Regions from separate parts of the Mus musculus genome. Here region 2 is reported to be linked to region 1. The links are microRNA targets in miRTarBase. Many come from high-throughput screens and were not tested one by one. Region 1 holds a microRNA gene; the other region holds the end of a gene's coding sequence.

Region 1 (4,000 bases):
AGATATTTTAAGAATGAAAGGTGAGGCTGGGCTAACATCATCTTCAGAATATACTGGTTCCCTGATAATCGCTTCCCATGTTATAGTAGCCTTCAATAAACTCTTGAATTAAAAAAAAAATAAGATTTTTTTAAAAAAGATTTGTTTATTTTATGTATGCGAGTATACTGTCTCTCTTCAGACACAGCAGAAGAGGGCATCGGATCCCATAACAGAGGGTTGTGAGCCACCATGTGGTTGCTGGGAATAGAACTCAGGACCTGTGGAAGAACAACCATTGCCCTTAACTTCTGAGATCTCTTTCCAGCCCCAAAGCACAAGATTTAAGTGCTGCCTAAGTGTGTTTGTGTGTGTGCACATGTGTGCATGTGAGTAAATTCTATAGAGATCAACTGGGTATATAGGTTTGAGAGAGGTATATTTCTCTTTTTCTATTGAGATTTATTTTATGAATATGAGTGTTTTGCCTGCATGTTTGTGACGGCACCACATTTGTGCCTGGTGCCTGAGGAAGTCAGAAGAGGGCATTGGATCCTGTGGAACTCTTCATGGATGATTTTGAGCCACCAAGTGTGTGCTAGGACTCGGACCCAAGAACAAATACTCTTAACCACTGAATCCTTTTCATTTGTTTTTTGAAGTAATTACTCAAAGGACTTGTTTTCTATGGTAGGTAACCCAGACGCTTTGGAAAAGGAGTTAACCAACATTACATTTAGGCAAAAAACATAGTTTTTCACATATTTGCCTTAGTAGTAATTACAGCTGATTTTGTTAATATCAATTATAAAGTTTTTATGATGCCCATGTTAGCTACTAAAGGCTCAGGACATATTACAAAATTCCTTTACATCTGTGCATGTTTATGTCTGAATGCTGCTAATTTCAGGTTAGTCAACAAAAACCAATTATCACTTTGGTCCTTTGCCCTTCCAAAAATATACTGGTATAAATGTTTTTAGGTTTTGGATGTCTTCTGACTAAAATGGCAACTCAACTTTAAGGTCTTTGCACACTGAGCCTTGCATTCCTTTCCTGCTCACTCCTGCTAACGGCTGCTCTGACTTTATTGCACTACTGTACTTTACAGCGAGCAGTGCAATAGTATTGTCAAAGCATCCGCGAGCAGGTTGCACACCTTTCCTGGTTCTTGTCTTACATCTTCAGTATTTGTGAAAAGGTTTCTATAACTTTCAGTGTGGAAAACTGTATAATTTTGTTACTATGTATATTTTTTAGAAAGTCATCATTTGAAAAAATATCATTAAATTAACATTTATCATTTCTGTATGGCACTGAAAATTCATTACTGTACGCTGTGAAGTAATGGCCTGTCTAACTGAATAGTACTTTGTAATTTGCTTCTTTTTGTAATAGACTTGAATAGGTTCTGGGAACTCTTCGGTCTTATTATATGAGTTGGTAAGTGATAGTCTCTCATGTCTATTTACTATGGTAATGGTTTACATCTTAGTGTCCATTTTAGTATTATATTAGAAATGCTTAAATTTAACACTTTGGGAGGGGACTAGAGAGATGGTCCAGCAGTTAACACTACAGAGGACCTGAGTTTCCTTCCCGGCACCCACATCTAGTAGCCACTCTCAGCCACTTGTAACTCTAGCTCCAGGCAGTTTCGTGCTGTCTTCTGGTCTCTGCAGGCACACAAATACAAACACACACACTGATACAAACACAGAATAATAAAATCCTTAAAACTTAGAAAGGCTTGATTATTGTAACTATAAAATATAAATCACTTTAAAAAAAACTTTTATTGGCTGTGAATTTCACATCATGCACCCCAGCCCTCCAATTCCACTCATTTTCCCATCCCTTAGTATCGGCTTTCTGCCCTTGCAACTTCCTCCTCAAAACAAAATAAAGATAGAATTAAAAAATCTTGTCATAGAAGCTGGAGTATGTCACATTGTGTCACACAGTATATCCTTTTGTCCATACAGAAGTCATCACTTTTTGGTAATAAGTTTAATGCACATTTTATGTAAGTAAAACTAAAAATGTAAGTGTACACTGATGAGTTTTGGCAAATGTATACATAATGTAACTCCCTCCACTACTAAGATAATAAAACATTTTCATTACATTTCATTTCAAAAGTCTCTGTGTCTGTCTGCAGTCTCCTTCCAAACAGTGCTTTTGTGAACTCTGACTGGGCCAGCACAGTATTTGTTCTTTTAGTTTTGCATTCTTGTACTTACTGTAAGTGCTTTTGCCATCTTGCCTTTGTTGCATGTGTTGATAATTGATTCATTTTTATTGTTGAGTATATTCCATTGTATAAAGTCTGACAAAGTGTTTCTTGGGTTGTTTCCAGGCTTTGCCTGTTATGAATAAATTTGTTGGAAGCATTGTCTTTACGTGGCCATAATTTCTTATTTCTTTTGTGTAAATACTGGGAAATGGGACTATTAGGAGAAGTTGCTAAAATCAACTGGGTGGCGGCATAGCCTTTAATCCCATCACTTGGGAGGTGGGCCGGGGGTGGTGGTGAATCTCTGAGTTTGAGACCTAGTCTGCAGAGTGAGTTTCAGGAACGCATGGCTTGAAAAATCACACCAACACACAAAAGGCAAAAACAGTTTGATAAAATCTTTTCCATAGTCCTCTTAGTGATATTGAATATTTTTCATGTGCTTATTTGCAACTGATATATGTTTTTTAATGTCTTAAAGTCTTCCTGTCCATGCATGGTACATGGTATACGTACATACGTGCATACACAAACTGCAGACACATGCGCACATTTTTTTTTCTCAATCTAATGTCACTAATTTTTTTTTCTTGGAGATTTGTGGTTTGGGGGCTGGAGTGATGGCTCTGGGGTCAAAGACCTTCTTGTTTTCCAGAGGACTGGAGTTTGCTTCTCGGCTCAGCACCCAGGTTGGGCAGTTTAGTTTGTGATTCCAACTTGAGAGGATTGTACACTCTCTTGTGGCCTCTGTGGGTTCCTTTACACACATGGCAAGGCAAACATAGACACACAAACAAACAAATTTAAAAGAAAAATTTTTGGTAAAGTATTTAATATCTTTATGTGTATGTGTGTGCTTGCTTGAGACTGTCCTTCACATGTGTGCAGGAGCTTGTGGAAGCCAGAAGAGGGTACTGGATCTTCTGAAACTCAGAGTTGGTTTTGAGCAATCATGTGGATGCTGAGAATGGAACAAACCTAGATGCTCTGCAAGACTAAGAGCTCTCTTAACCACTGAATTCTCTCTCCAACCCCCAAATGAAAGCTTAACACGATTTAACACAGCCCTGTATAAAACAGCTAATGCATGTGTGTGGTGGTGCACATGCCCCTGGCACATGTAGAGGCCTAAAGTTCACCAGGTAGGTTCTCAGATGGATGTAGCTTGGTGAGGCATACCAGAGGCCCTGGGACTGGATCCTACCTCTGCCTGATAGTGAAGGTGGCCTCTCTAATTCCAGCCACTCCAGAGGGGTAAACCGGAGGATTAGGATTTCAAACTTATTTTCTGCTGTAGCCAGCCCTAGGTCTACCTGGTTTACATTAAACCCTGTCACAGAACAACCAAAGCAAGCTTAAGTCTTTCCTTTCACCATGTGGATCTTGGGTTTGAACTCGGGTCATCAGGCATGCCTGCAGGCAACATTACCTGCTGATTCATGTTGCCATCCAGCATAGTCAGCCTTAGGTTTTGATAGAGTAGAATGGATAGTGTTTGCTTTATAAGCTTGTTTGGTTTTGTTCATTTTTTTTCACCCAGGAGTCAGGGTTTTTCCCTGTAGCCCTGGCTGTCCTGAACTCGGCCTCAAACTCACGGAGAGTTGTCAAACTTTGCCTCCCATGTGCTGGGATCAGAGGGGTGAGCCAGCGCTGCCTGGCTTGTACATACTTCTGTTTTTGGAGACAGGGTTACTTTTTGTAGCCTTGGCTGTTCTGGAACTTGCTCTGAAGACCAAGATGGCCTCAAATGTAAAGAGATCCCCTTGTCTCTGCCTCCCAAATGCT
Region 2 (12,811 bases), not on the chromosome of region 1:
CTTGAAACTTTTAATTTAGATCTTTAATTATTTGCAGTCCTTTTGTTTGATTTCACAAATAGGAAAACCTTTTGTGCAGACATAGCTGTACATAGTGATGCTCTCTGCCTGTGTCTTAAGTTTTGTTGCTGCAGAGTAGGAATAAACAGACATAGAAGTGAGCAGTGTGTCAAGACAGCTGTGTTGGTGCCTGGGCTTCAGAGCGTATAGCTCTTGCTTTGTGTCCCTTAAAAGCAGTGGGACCCTCACAGCTAGTGAGTAAGTCGTTCACGGGGCCTCTATTTCATGCAAAGTATGCTTTGTTTCTTCCGGGTGGTCTTGTTAAAACAGACAGTACTAAAAACTAAAAACAGACAGTACTAAAAAATCAACATTTCATTTCATTCATTTCATTCATTTTAAAGGCAAGAAATTATTGGCTTCCTATGTTCCTTTTAAGCCTATGCTAGTGCCACAGTTGTGACTACATTATAAACTGAGAAAGCCATTGGTATTCAAAATTTCTTACCATCATTCAGCTATTCAATTTCTGTACTGTGTCCTCTGTAACAGGCATCTTAGTGACCTTGCAGTATGGCAGACAATGGTAACTCCTTGCTTTGGTAACAGCTTTGCTACCACAGGCTAATCCAGGGCTGTCCAGTAGACCATAGAGGGTATCTGTGTATCATGTGGAAGGTACTTATCCACATATCACCATTAACCACTTAAAAGTGTTGTACAAGTGAGAGACAGGATTACTAATTTTTAACGTACTTAGTTTTTATTTTAATTGCACTGTACTAGACAAAGCAGATTAGTTCTTTATTGTGTCTTCTGAGTGCTATGTACAAAGATTTCTCCATTAAGACAAAGGTATAACCTCCATTAAGGGTGTAGCCCTGGATTCATTCTCCAGAACCAAAAACATGCAAGATTATTCAGTGGGACTGGAGCGTAGCTCAGTGATAGGATGCTCTTGCAGTTTAATAGTTATGTGGGTTCTTTAAGGTCTTGATCAAATCCTTTCTATAACCATCCAACTATCTAAAAGACTTGATGTTCATTTGGAATTTTTTTTCATTGACTTTTCATTATTTTTTTGTATTAATATTAGCAAGGTGATTATTCTCAGGCTTCTGTTCAATTTTTAAACCCCTTTGTCTCCTTTACTGAACAAAGCTCATAAGGTTAGGGGAGGTATATTGAGAGGAACTGTTGCCTGGCTTACTGCTTGACACATCATAGATATGTAAAAAACAAGGAATGAGATTGAAAGAAATTGTAAAACTGATAATATGGGTATCTAATATAGTGAAATTAATTCTATTTTCATCACGTGGGAAAAAAATGCCACTTTGTGTTTTAATACTCCATAGCACTTTGTTCATTTTACATAATAATTCTTAAACAACAAACACTAGATAAGTAACAGACGGATGTAAACAATATTCTTCTTACTCTCAAGGAGGATTGGTTGAGTTGAATCAGCTTATATGCATTAATACTACAGAGGAGACTGAGTCACGCAGACTTCAGGGAAGAAGAAATAGCATGTGTGCCAACAGTTTTTAATCTTTCCCCTTTTACCACAGTACATGTAGATGTGAAAAAGAAATCTTCCTGGTCATTGTGATAAATGTGAATAAGTATTTTGCTATGGGGTTGAGTTATATTGCGATACATATCCTTAATACTAATCTTAACACCTGATGTCCACCAGTTTGTTATGATTCATGTTAAGAGGCCACATAAGGACATCACACTTTTGTTAGGTGGCAGTGCGGTTCTATCAAAAGAGACAACTCAAACCTAGTAAAGTCTTCCTCTCATCTCCACATCCACCCTTTCTTCCAGGAGTTGCAAGCACATGTTGACCAAATCACCGAGATGGCAGCAGTAATGAGAAAAGCTATTGAAATTGACGAGCAGCAGGGTTGCAAGGAACAGGAGCGGATATTTCAACTTGAAGTGAGTTTTAAACTTTAAATCAAATATGGGTTGAAAGTATGGCTGAAAACATTCAACCAGAGAACATTCCAGTCTTAACACCCACACTCTTTAAGTTGGTGGTCATGAGTTCTGAATCTGAATGCTGGTAACAGCCAGTGGAATAGACCACTGGGTAGTAATGTCAGAGTCTGGGGTCCGCAGGGATGCATAAGTATACCAGTAGCTGACAAAGTTGATTGTTAAACTAGGCATAGTGGCACTCGCCTTTAATCCCAGCATTTGAGAGAGAGAAGCAGGCGGATTTCTGAGTTCAAGGCCAGCCTGGTCTACAGCGCGAGTTCCCGGACAGTCAGAGCTGCACAGAGAAACCCTGTCTTGAAAAGAAAAGGTTGAGTTTTGATTCTGCATTGTGTTCATATATATCTGAGTTTTTAAAATTATGAAATTGAAGAAATATATGCATATGAATTCATTCACATATATATGAATTTCTTCAATTTCATAATTTTAAAATTTCAGTTCTTTGTGCTAGAGATCATAATGATATAAAAAAATTATAATGCACAAATAATGCCAGGCGTGGTGCTCCTTTAATTCTAGCACTTGGGAAGGAGAGGCAGGAGGATCAGGAAGGTTAGCCTCAGCTCTCCAGTGGGTAAACAGCTTAACTATGAAGCAGGAGGACCTGACTCTGGATCCAACACCATTGTAAAGGTCAGGTACAATGGCTAGCTGGAACAGTAAGTTCCAGGTTCAACAGGAAACCCCATCTCAGCCGGGTGTGGTGGTGCACGCCTTTAATCCCAGCACTCGGGAGGCAGAGGCAGGCGGATTTCTGAGTTCGAGGCCAGCCTGGTCTACAAAGTGAGTTCCAGGACAGCCAGGGCTACACAGAGAAACCCTGTCTCAAAAAAAAAAAAAGAAACCCTATCTCAAAAAAGAAAGTAGATTGCAACAGAGGAAGACTCCTGGCTTCAGCTTTTTGTCTTCAAATGTACATACACACATAGAACAGATACACCCAGAAAATACAATTTAAATCAATTTGCTTGGAATCATGATCAGGAAATTTCCTATGGATGGCCATAAAACCTACCTGTCTTGGAGCATATAGTACTCTCCCATTTATATAATAAGGGTAGGTCAGCTTTCTCAGCAAAGGACCAGAAAGCATTTTGGACTTTGCAAACTAGTCAGTTTATATCTGCTCAACTTCGTTGTGGTAATGCAAAAGGAGAAAGTCAGAACTATGCTCAGAAACAACCCTTGGGCCAGACCATTGAGACTTGAAAAGTAAGCCCACAACAGCTGTAGAGAATAGATTATAAAATGACAAAATTGCTTACAATATTAACCATTTACATATCTTTCTGAAAAATAATTACCTCAGCTGGTCTTGGCTGAACTTAAATTTTGCTGAGGGAAACATACCTACTAACTTCTATTGAGTGATGAAATCTACCTCAAAGTCTTAGTCATATAAACTTATCCCTAGCGCGAGTGTAGATGGGTATTTTATATACACACATATCATCTCCAGTCTGTGCAGAACAAGCTGATTTCTGCCTGGTCACCTGTTGCCTCTGCACACCTTAAGGCTTCCAGCAGTGAGGAGGCTGAGTACTGATGCTGCATCTTAAACACCATTTGAAATCTGGCTTTGTCTTTTGTTTCTTAGATCAAGTCTCACTGTGTAGCCCTGGCTGGCCTAGAACCCTCATGCAAACTAGAAAGCCCTCAGATTCATAGAGATCCCCCTGCCTTTGCCTACCAACTGCTGGGATTAAAGGCAGGTGTCACCACACCAGGCTTTGAAATCTGTTTAGATTGAGGTTGTGACTGCCTGTAACTCATAGTATATCTATCCATTTATGTGTTATAGAGTCTGCTTTCTGTGCCACACTTCATAAAATTGGCTTTTAAAATATGTATCCCTCTTGGAGCTGTCTTAAGGGACTCAGCCAAACCAGCAGTTTCTGTTTCTGCATGTTTCTCATCTTGGGTTTTCCTTATTTTCTTACAGCAAGAAAATAAAGGCTTGAGAGAGATCCTTCAGATAACTCGAGAATCCTTTTTGAACCTTCGGAAGGATGATGCGTCAGAGAGTACGTCTCTATCTGCCTTAGTGACTAACAGTGACCTGAGTCTGAGGAAGAGCTGAGTGGCTTTCTGTGCGGTCACTAGAATGGGCCCAGAAGTGAGTGGATGAGTGAACATAAAGCCCAACTTCAGTCAGCCTTTTCCGTCTGGTATGTACAGGGACACTGGCAAAGAGACGGCAGCAGAATGTATAACCAGTGGTCATAAACTAGATCCCAGTCACAGTCAGAAAGGAGACGCTGAGCCACAGAGTGAACAGCGAGTCTTCAAGGTGCTGCTGAGCACTGCAGTTTCAGAAGTGCTGTTGGCTTCTTAGATGCTACATAGATCACCCTGAATACTCCTAATAAATGTTGGAAAGCCTAAATTATCACAATTTTAAAAGTAAGGTTGGTGTGGTTTTCTGAATGGAAGACTTTGTTCTAAGTCTTACCTTCCTGTTCAGTGTCAGAGTTGGCATAGCTTGTGTACATAAAGCTGCTGAGTTGGTGCTCACCTGCCCATTTGCTCGGCCCTCATCAAAGGCAGTTCATGTTTAAAGACTATAGGAATACGTCACTTGCATCACAAACAGAAGGAACATACTTACACCTAATTCCCATAACTCTTAGCTAGCAGTTATTCACGACTTGCTTAAGTGTATGCATCTCAGGAAAGAAAGACAAAGAATATACTTTCTAAGAAAGACAGCCATATATAGACACATTTAGTAGGTTGAACTACTTTGAAAGATTATGTTTTGGTTCTCTGTTAACAATGAACCTGGTTCTTCCTCCTCTTTTCATCATGTTTAAGGATACAAGACAGTTCACCAATAGACAAGAGTTGACAATTTAATGTAATGAGATAGGTATGGTCATTTCCAAGTTAATTTGGAATTCCTTTATTGTTATTTAAGAAATTACTCTTCATACACTTACAAAGTAGATACAGGTTCCAAAAATCAAAGTTCTGAGTCTGAGTCTAAGCCTCATCTAGTTCTTATAACCTGTGAGGTTTTTCCTACAACCTGTGACTCAGAAACTGGCAGTGAAGTGTGGACACAAAGGGATTGTGCTTTGCACTTTAAAAAAAAAAAAAGCTTCTTAAGGCCACAGGATACAGAAGTGTGCTTTCATACCAACTGCAACCTAAACTTTTCTGTAGTGATAAGAATAAAAGATTATGAGATATGGCTGAAAATACACTATACTTGTATCTGAAGTCCATACTGAAATTAGCACAGACAGAAAGTTAGACTTTTCAATATATCATTTGTTAAGTACATATTACTTTGCAGTGTAATTTTATGTGTAATTTCATGTATTGGCAAAATTAAAAGGACTTTTCACTCCAGAACCTTTCATTCTGAAGTTTGAGGTGAGTGGGGTCATAGGTCAGTTAGGAAAGGGCCAGTTCCCCAGATGTTAAACCGTTCTCATGCAGAGGCCTTAATATTTTATATATAAGTGAATTTACTTTTAAGATTTTTCTATTGTTTTTTGGAAAGTAACCCTTAATTTAATGGTACTTTCTTTCATGTAGTTTTGTCCCAGGCCAGAATTTTAAAAAGAAGAAAAGCGGCACAGACGAGATGAGTCAGATCGATGTATTGAGCAGGTCTATTGTGAAACGTTATTTGAGAAGTAATTATTTTTATAAAAAATTATTTATCCTTTGTTTTCTTGGATATAATTTTAAGGTTGTGAATATTGAAAGACATTTGCTTTGTTTTTAGCAAGTTTTCCACCCCACCCCCATCCCCAAAATAAACAGCTTTAAGCTTACATATGAGAGTGTGCTGAAGAGGAGCCTATTTTGTCAATAAAGATGAGTGTTTAAAACTGGTCTGGTCTCAGGGTTAATTTAAAAACAAAGCTCACATTTCTTAAATATACTTTGTGTCTTTGCTGAGGGGATAGGTGGTGCTAGGGTTTAAACCCAGAACTTTATATACAAGAGCTCTTCTAAGCTGCATACTCAGCTCTTCAGCCTATTTGGGGGGGGGGGGGGCGGGTAGAGGGAGGGGCTGTTTGTGCCAGTGCATTTGTGGGTATGTGAGTGCATGTGTGTTTGTGCACATAACATGCCTTATTCCTGTATAGTGCTGTGACTCCCCTCAATTTTTCCAAGGTCTCACCCAGTCTATAACCTGCATAATATTTTAATGCCCCGGGACTCTCAGACTCTCAGACTTACAGCTCCTGCTTAGAGTTCTCATAACCTCCACACTAATCTGTGTGTAACTACCATAGAGACATTTCAGGCTGAAATTGCCCAAAGCCAAACTCCTCATCCCCAAACTTCTAAAGTGTTCCCCATCCTTGCAGGGCACCTTAGACTTTAGTTTCTTTTATATCTTGCATTGAATTTGTTAGCACGTCCTGCTGGCTGTTTATGCAGGAACATACCTGCTAGCCCTAGTCCAAGCCACAGCAGAGTAGATAATAACATTCACCCTTAGGCTAGGCAGTGGTGGCACACACCTTTGATCCCAGCACTTGTGTGGCTGAAGCAGGTGGATCTCTGGGAGTTTGAGGCTAGCCTAGTAGACAAAATGAATTCTAGGACACCCAGGGCTAAACCATGTCTCCAAAAAAAAAAAAAAAGAACAAAAACAAAAACTAAGAAATCATTGTCAGGACACTTGGTGTAGTATAAAGCAACAGAAAAACCAAAGGCCACATAATAAAAGTGTTAAGTTACACACCTACAGGGCTTGGGAGGTGGCTCAGTTGAGACAGTGCTTGCTCTACAAATATGAGGGCCTGCTCTTGTATTCCTCGAACTTATACAAAAAGCACTGTGACAAAGCCTAGAATTAGGGCCTAAACAGTTCTCAGGATCCTGGGGAAATTCAGGTGGAGGCTGACTTGGATCAGCAGGCTTGGCCACTTTGACTCCAGCATTCTGGTGACTAGGCTCCATTCATTTCTTCAGCAAGCCCATGTGCTTAACCTGGTTTCCCCAGTGCTTGCTTTAAGCTGAGCCTCCTTTGCTTCCCATCTGTGTGGATACTCAAATTGAAGATTTAAAAAAAACAAAACAGTACAGTGTAGGCATTCCATATATACCTCTGTATGTGCTGTGAGTCTTGTTTAAATCACTAGATATTTAATAGCTCTTATTCTTATCTGGAGAAGGCATTTGAGCTAGAACCTGGCAGGGCCTTGCACAGTCTTTACCACAGAGCACATCCTCAGGCCAGGCCACATTCATCTTTACCCTTTATCTTTAAAGGAGAGTGAAGGTGTAACCACAAATATAACTAGCCAGTCAGTCTCTTCCCACAACCTCATTCCCGACCCAGAACTTACTGTACATTTCCTCTGGGTCAGAAACCTGCCTAGTTATTTTTTAAGGTGTATGTACGAACAGCTGAAATTGTACAGGAATTGTTTAAATATAAATAGTTGTCTGTGCATGTGGGACACATGCCACAGTGCACACATGCCTTGGCACATGCTCTGGAGACCAGAAGATGATTCTGTGGCAACAGTCCTCTCCTTCCACCTTTATGAGCTGCAGGGACTGACTTCAGGTCTCCAGATTTGAGGTCAGGTGCCTTTACTCCCTGGGCCATTTGTGAATGAACCACATTTTCTTTATCCATTCCCCAGTTGAGGGACATCTAGCAGCTATTACAAATAAGGCTGCTATGAACATGGTTGAGCAAGTGTCCTTGTGGTATGGTGGAGCATCTTTTGGGATATGTGCCCAAGAGCGGTATAGCTGGGTCTTCTGGTAGAACTATTTCCAATTTTCTGAGAAACCACCAAACTGATTCCCAGAGTGGTTGTAAAGGTTTGCACTCCAGCCAGCAAAGGAGGAATGTTTCTCCACATCCTCATCAGTTTAGTTCTGTATTAGGGAAGATTAGATATTGGAGGTGGATGGAGGGAGGGAACTGACTGGGTAAGGGGATGGGGGAAGCAACGGGGTGGGGGTGGGGGTAGGAATCAGGTGTAGGGAGAGCAAACAAGAGAACAGAAATTGGTGGTGAGCAGTGGCAGGGCATCTCCAGGACCTGCTAGAGAGTCTATGGGGGTAACTAGCTGAGACTCATAGTGGCGGGAGATATGGAGCCTGAATTGGCTACCTCCTATAGCCAGTCAGGACTCCCAACAACCCACACACAAAACTTTAGCCCAAAACTTGTCCTACCTACAAGATGTGTACAAAGATGGAGCGAGACTAAGGGAATGGCCCAACTTGAGACCCATCCCATGGGCAAGAACCACCAGTCCCTGACACTAATTAATGATGCTCTGTTTATGCTTGCAGACAGGAGCCTAGCATTACTGTCCTCTGAGAGGTCCCACCCAGAAGCCAATGGAAAGAGATGCAGAGACCCACAGCCAAACATTAGATGGTTACATGAAGCACAGGGAGTCTTGTAGAAGTGTTGAGGTACTGATGGGCTCAAAGGGGATAGGAACTCGACAGGAAGACCAACAGAGTCAACACACCTGGACCCTGGGGGCTCCCAGAAACTGATTCACCACCAAAAGAGCAAGCATGGGCTGGACCTAGGCCCTCCACACATATGTGCAGATGTGCAGCTTGGTCTCCAACAAATGGAGCAGAGTGGAGCGGGGAAGGCTTACCCTGACTCTTGCCTGTCTGTGGATTCTATTCCCCCAGCTGGGCTGCCTTGTCTGGCCTCAATGAGCTGCGCCTAGTCCTGCAATGACTTGATGTTCCAGGGTGGGGTGATAGCCAAAGGACCTCCTCCTCTGAGGAGAAGAATAGGGGATGGGGGAAGGAGCTGTGGGAGGGGGGGGCTGATATTGGGATGTAAAGTCAATAAATAATGAAAAAAAATGAGTAAATACATTTAAATCTACATAAACCATAACATATCACCCTGGATTCCCTTCACTTCCTGTTATCCTTAAGTGAAGTTCTTAAAACAACTGTATTTTCCAGATTAAATTTATATAAGTACATACAAGACTGGTATAAACTCCTGGAGACATCCTAATAAGGAGGACATTAAGCATTTTTTTCAAAGTAGGTATTTATTACAAAAATTATACAAATGGTATTAAAAATTATGAAAATTTACAAATATTTTGTATTTCCCTCCGAGAAAGCATACTCTGCCTTTTTTAGCTCTGACTGGCAGTGTGTTCCGACAGTACAAAGAATAGTTCTCCAACAATCTGTACAACTAAAATGCAAGCATGTGACAAGCCAGAAACCCTATAGCAATTAAAATATATATATATATTGCTGAAGCTAGGTAGTAATAACAGAATAGGATTTTCAGAAATAAACCAAAAGGGGTTCATTTTATAATTTTTCATTATGTTTTAACTTCAGAACCTTTTTTCAAAGCCACAACTGAAGACTCCACCCACTCCCTGAAATGTCAAGGCTATAGTCATTGCTGTGAAGAGACTAAGAAGCACACCACTGACAAACCAGCGCACTGTGGGCCACACACGTCAGGGAAGCCAGTTCTCAGCCCTGCCGTTCAGAGGAGTCAAGAGCATGTCCCTCCTTACAGAACCCATGGTGGTGGCTAAGTGATCAATCCCTCTGAGCTTCAGAGCACAGGGGCTTTGATTATACAGAGCAATCATTAGCACAACTTCACAGGTGCTAGGAAGGTCTCATTGATGTCTCTCTGACAAAATACGGTCCAGTCACCGTCTAATGCAACCTAAGAAAGAAGGGTCAGCAGCCAACACTGCTCTAAATGGCCCCAACACAAAATGGGCTATAAATAACTTACTCATATAAAAGTTTTATTATCTTTAATAAACTGAGCTATTTTAGATTACAGAAAAAATTTAGTTATTTACCACTTAAAGCACTAACTGGCAAAACAACAGGAAATCTACATTGTTACGTGTTAGGATAATTTGCCAGTTTTTAAAATAAATCGTTTGAATATTGAAAATAAATGAAAAGGGTTCCTGATTTTATTATAAGATGCAGCCAAATATAATCAGACTGCTTTTAAGGAAAAGGGGGGTTACTTTTCCCTTAGTCTTGACATTCAAGGACCCAAATCAAATCCCTAAACTTCTACACACAAAGCGAATAAATACCCACTGCCTGCCTCCCCTCCACAGGTTCTGACTGAGTCATAACTGTCCAAGAAGCTACAAGAACAAAACACTAGGGCTTCAAGGAGACATTTTTATTTTTTGGTGTATTTTATAAAAGACATCAATCATCAAAAGGTAACTTCTCAAGACTGTGGAAAATGAGGAAAAACATCTACGGCCAACTTTTTGGAGACTTTTCTCACCATATCACTTAGAATCCTCTAACTCCACTGCTGTACATCCACGGGGGCGTCACCCTGTCACCCACCCTGGCTGGCCCTGCATGGACCTGGGACAACTGGGCAGTCTAGACGAGAACTCCAGGGCAAGCACACTGACCCTCAGCCTTCTACAGAAGCAAGGGTGTCCTCTCTCCAGCCGGCTGTTCCTTCTGGAAGAGCTCTTTGATCCGAGCAACCCGACCATAAAGCCTCTCTCTCAGGGGAGGGATGTGATGGCTGGGGTCCAGGATGTTGGTCACTCTGCGTTCTCTCTCTTGCTTCCATAGCTTGTAGGGGTGGGGAGGGAAAGGCGGCTGTCCTCTTTCTCTTCGAATCTGAAGTGTAATTCCACTGACAGCCAGCATCCCCCACACGGCCAGGATGATGTAGTCTAAAGGAGAGAAGTATCCTTTGTACTCAGGGGATTCTGTGTTGTGGGTTGGTTTTGCTTTTCAGTATATGTCTCAAGATATAGCCCAGACTAGCCCTAAACTTATGGCAATCCTCCTGCCTTCTATTGAATACCAAGATTATAGACATGCGCCATCAAGTCAGCAGTTTTTGTGTGGTGTGTGTGGAGGCCAGTGTGGGTGGCAAGTGTCCTCTCCTATTGCTCCTCTGTTGCTCTCCATCTTACTGTTTGGACAGGCGCCTGTCCCATTGAACCAGCAAGCCCCGCTAACTGTAGTTGCTTATGCACGCTCTCACACTCAGCGTTTTGTTTTGTTTTGTTATTTTGTTTTTCAAGACAGGGTTTCTCTGTATAGCCCTGGCTGACCTGGAACTCACTTTGTAGACCAGGCTGGCCTTGAACTCAGAAATCCACCTGCCTCTGCCTCCCAAGTGCTGGGATTAAAGGTGTGCGCCACCACTGCCCGGCTCACGCCGGCTTTTTACTTGGGGATCTGAACTTGGGTCCTCACAACACAGAGCAAGCACCTTACCCACTGAGCCACCCATCCTGGCCCCAACTTCTTTTTCTTTCTCTTTCCTTGTTCCTTTTCTCTCTTTCCTCCCTCACACCCTTTTATTCTTTTATTTTTTTAATTTTTCAAGATGGTGGTCTTAATTCCATAGTCAGTCCTGACCTGGAACTCACTATGAGCCCTTGCTGGCCTCAAATTTGTGGCCATCCTCCTGCTTCAGTTTCCTGAGTGCTAGGAGTGAAGCTGTGTAGGAACACGCCTGGTTCTGAACTGTTTAACATTTAGTGTGCACCAGCGCTTCCCCTTCACGTGCTAAATGCATGTCTTCCTTTCAATTTTGGACATATGTCCAAATGTATCTCCTCACTTACAAGCCAAGGCACAAGGAGACACGACAGTAGCTTCTTCTACTACAGACATCCAGAAAGTTGAAGCAGGGAGTGAAAGCTGGCTGTGTAGCTTCCTGGAGCTTCCATGTGCAGTGCCTGCAGACATGGCTGCCCTAGCTACTCTCTACATACTCCCAGGGGGGTTGGATGCTTACATGGATGGGACGCAAGACAATGTGAGTTGACACCCCAGATTCCACCAAGCATCCAACAAAGACATAGCTCTGGGAATGCCATTGCCTGGACTGTGTGCAGACTTTCCAGTGTGGCTGCCTTGGGCTCACCCAAGCTCTTAAAGACAACCTCTTCCCCAGACTCTAATTAAGCCCAATAAACTCACTGCTTCTCACAGGGAACTCTGGTGGAACCAACCTTAGGTTGAGACCTTAGAAGGTCATGGGTAGACACTTCCTTAGACCCCACACCCCCAGGGAGAAAAATCTCTGAGCGCAAGGTCTCCACGTCTGACCTCTCATCCCAAGGGGAAGATCTTGATTATTGTCTCTAAGTAGAGGCAAAGATTTGCCCTAAAAAAAAAATCTTAACAGTCACAGTTGCTACATCCCAATTCTGAGACATGCTTCTCTACCCTATGTCTTTAAACTTGTCTGAAATCAACACAGTTTGAAAACTCTGTAAATATGTAGTGTGTTCTTTCCTTTAAAGCGTTAACACAAGCCACATGTTGGGGTCCACACTCAACATCTCAGGGAAGGTAGAGACAGGAGGATCAGTGTTAATTTGAGGCTAGCCTAGGCTAGAGAGAACCTGTCTCCAAGAGGTCAAATTAAAATAGAAACTCAATAATGAACAGAATCTTCTAATTAAGGTAATGATTTGATCACTAATTGAAAATAAACCACATCTTCATTGAAGTGAAGAAACAAAGGGACACAGTTAATTAAATCCGGTGCGACTCTCATTCCTCACCGGATAGATGCCAAACAGGGTCCCCATCTGAGAATGGACAGGTAAGCAAGCCCAGCTAGCAAAGTCCACTCAGATGTTTGGAAGGATGAGTACCCAGTACCTTAGACATTTCAGTCCTTTAGTTACTGGCAGAGTGCTCTCATGGCATCTGTACCATGGCTCCTCTTTCAGCCCCAGGTGATGCTTATGTGTTCCTGTTAGGGTGGGTGGGTTAGTCAGCACGCCTATTTAGCCATCAGTCCAGTGTCTTACCGTTGGTCTGGAAAGGCACTCTA

Evidence for each region. The annotated mature microRNA mmu-miR-301a-3p reads CAGUGCAAUAGUAUUGUCAAAGC and lies in region 1 at 1,095-1,117, shown strand. An mRNA with a match to its seed (bases 2 to 7 or 8) in the 3' UTR can be bound and repressed. Matches are read on the target gene's strand: a 7mer-m8 pairs with bases 2 to 8, a 7mer-A1 pairs with bases 2 to 7 and ends in A, and an 8mer does both.
Region 2: miRTarBase lists Fgfr1op2 as a target of mmu-miR-301a-3p. Seed matches in the 3' UTR shown: 7mer-m8 at 5,091-5,097.

What each region holds. Positions count from the first base shown.
Region 1 is chr11:87,111,960-87,115,959 of GRCm38, forward strand. Mir301 (microRNA 301) reads left to right here and starts at 1,045; the gene lies at 1,045-1,130. All of the region lies in intron 1 of Ska2 (spindle and kinetochore associated complex subunit 2), which reads left to right.
Region 2 is chr6:146,593,340-146,606,150 of GRCm38, forward strand. It overlaps Fgfr1op2 (FGFR1 oncogene partner 2), which reads left to right. Exons shown (of 7, transcript NM_026218.2): 6 at 1,837-1,950; 7 at 3,956-5,859. The coding sequence ends at 4,093. It overlaps Tm7sf3 (transmembrane 7 superfamily member 3), which reads right to left. Exons shown (of 12, transcript NM_026281.2): 11 at 12,789-12,811; 12 at 8,937-10,682. The coding sequence ends at 10,420. Among named protein-coding and RNA genes, the nearest start is that of Fgfr1op2, 22 kb to the left of the region's middle.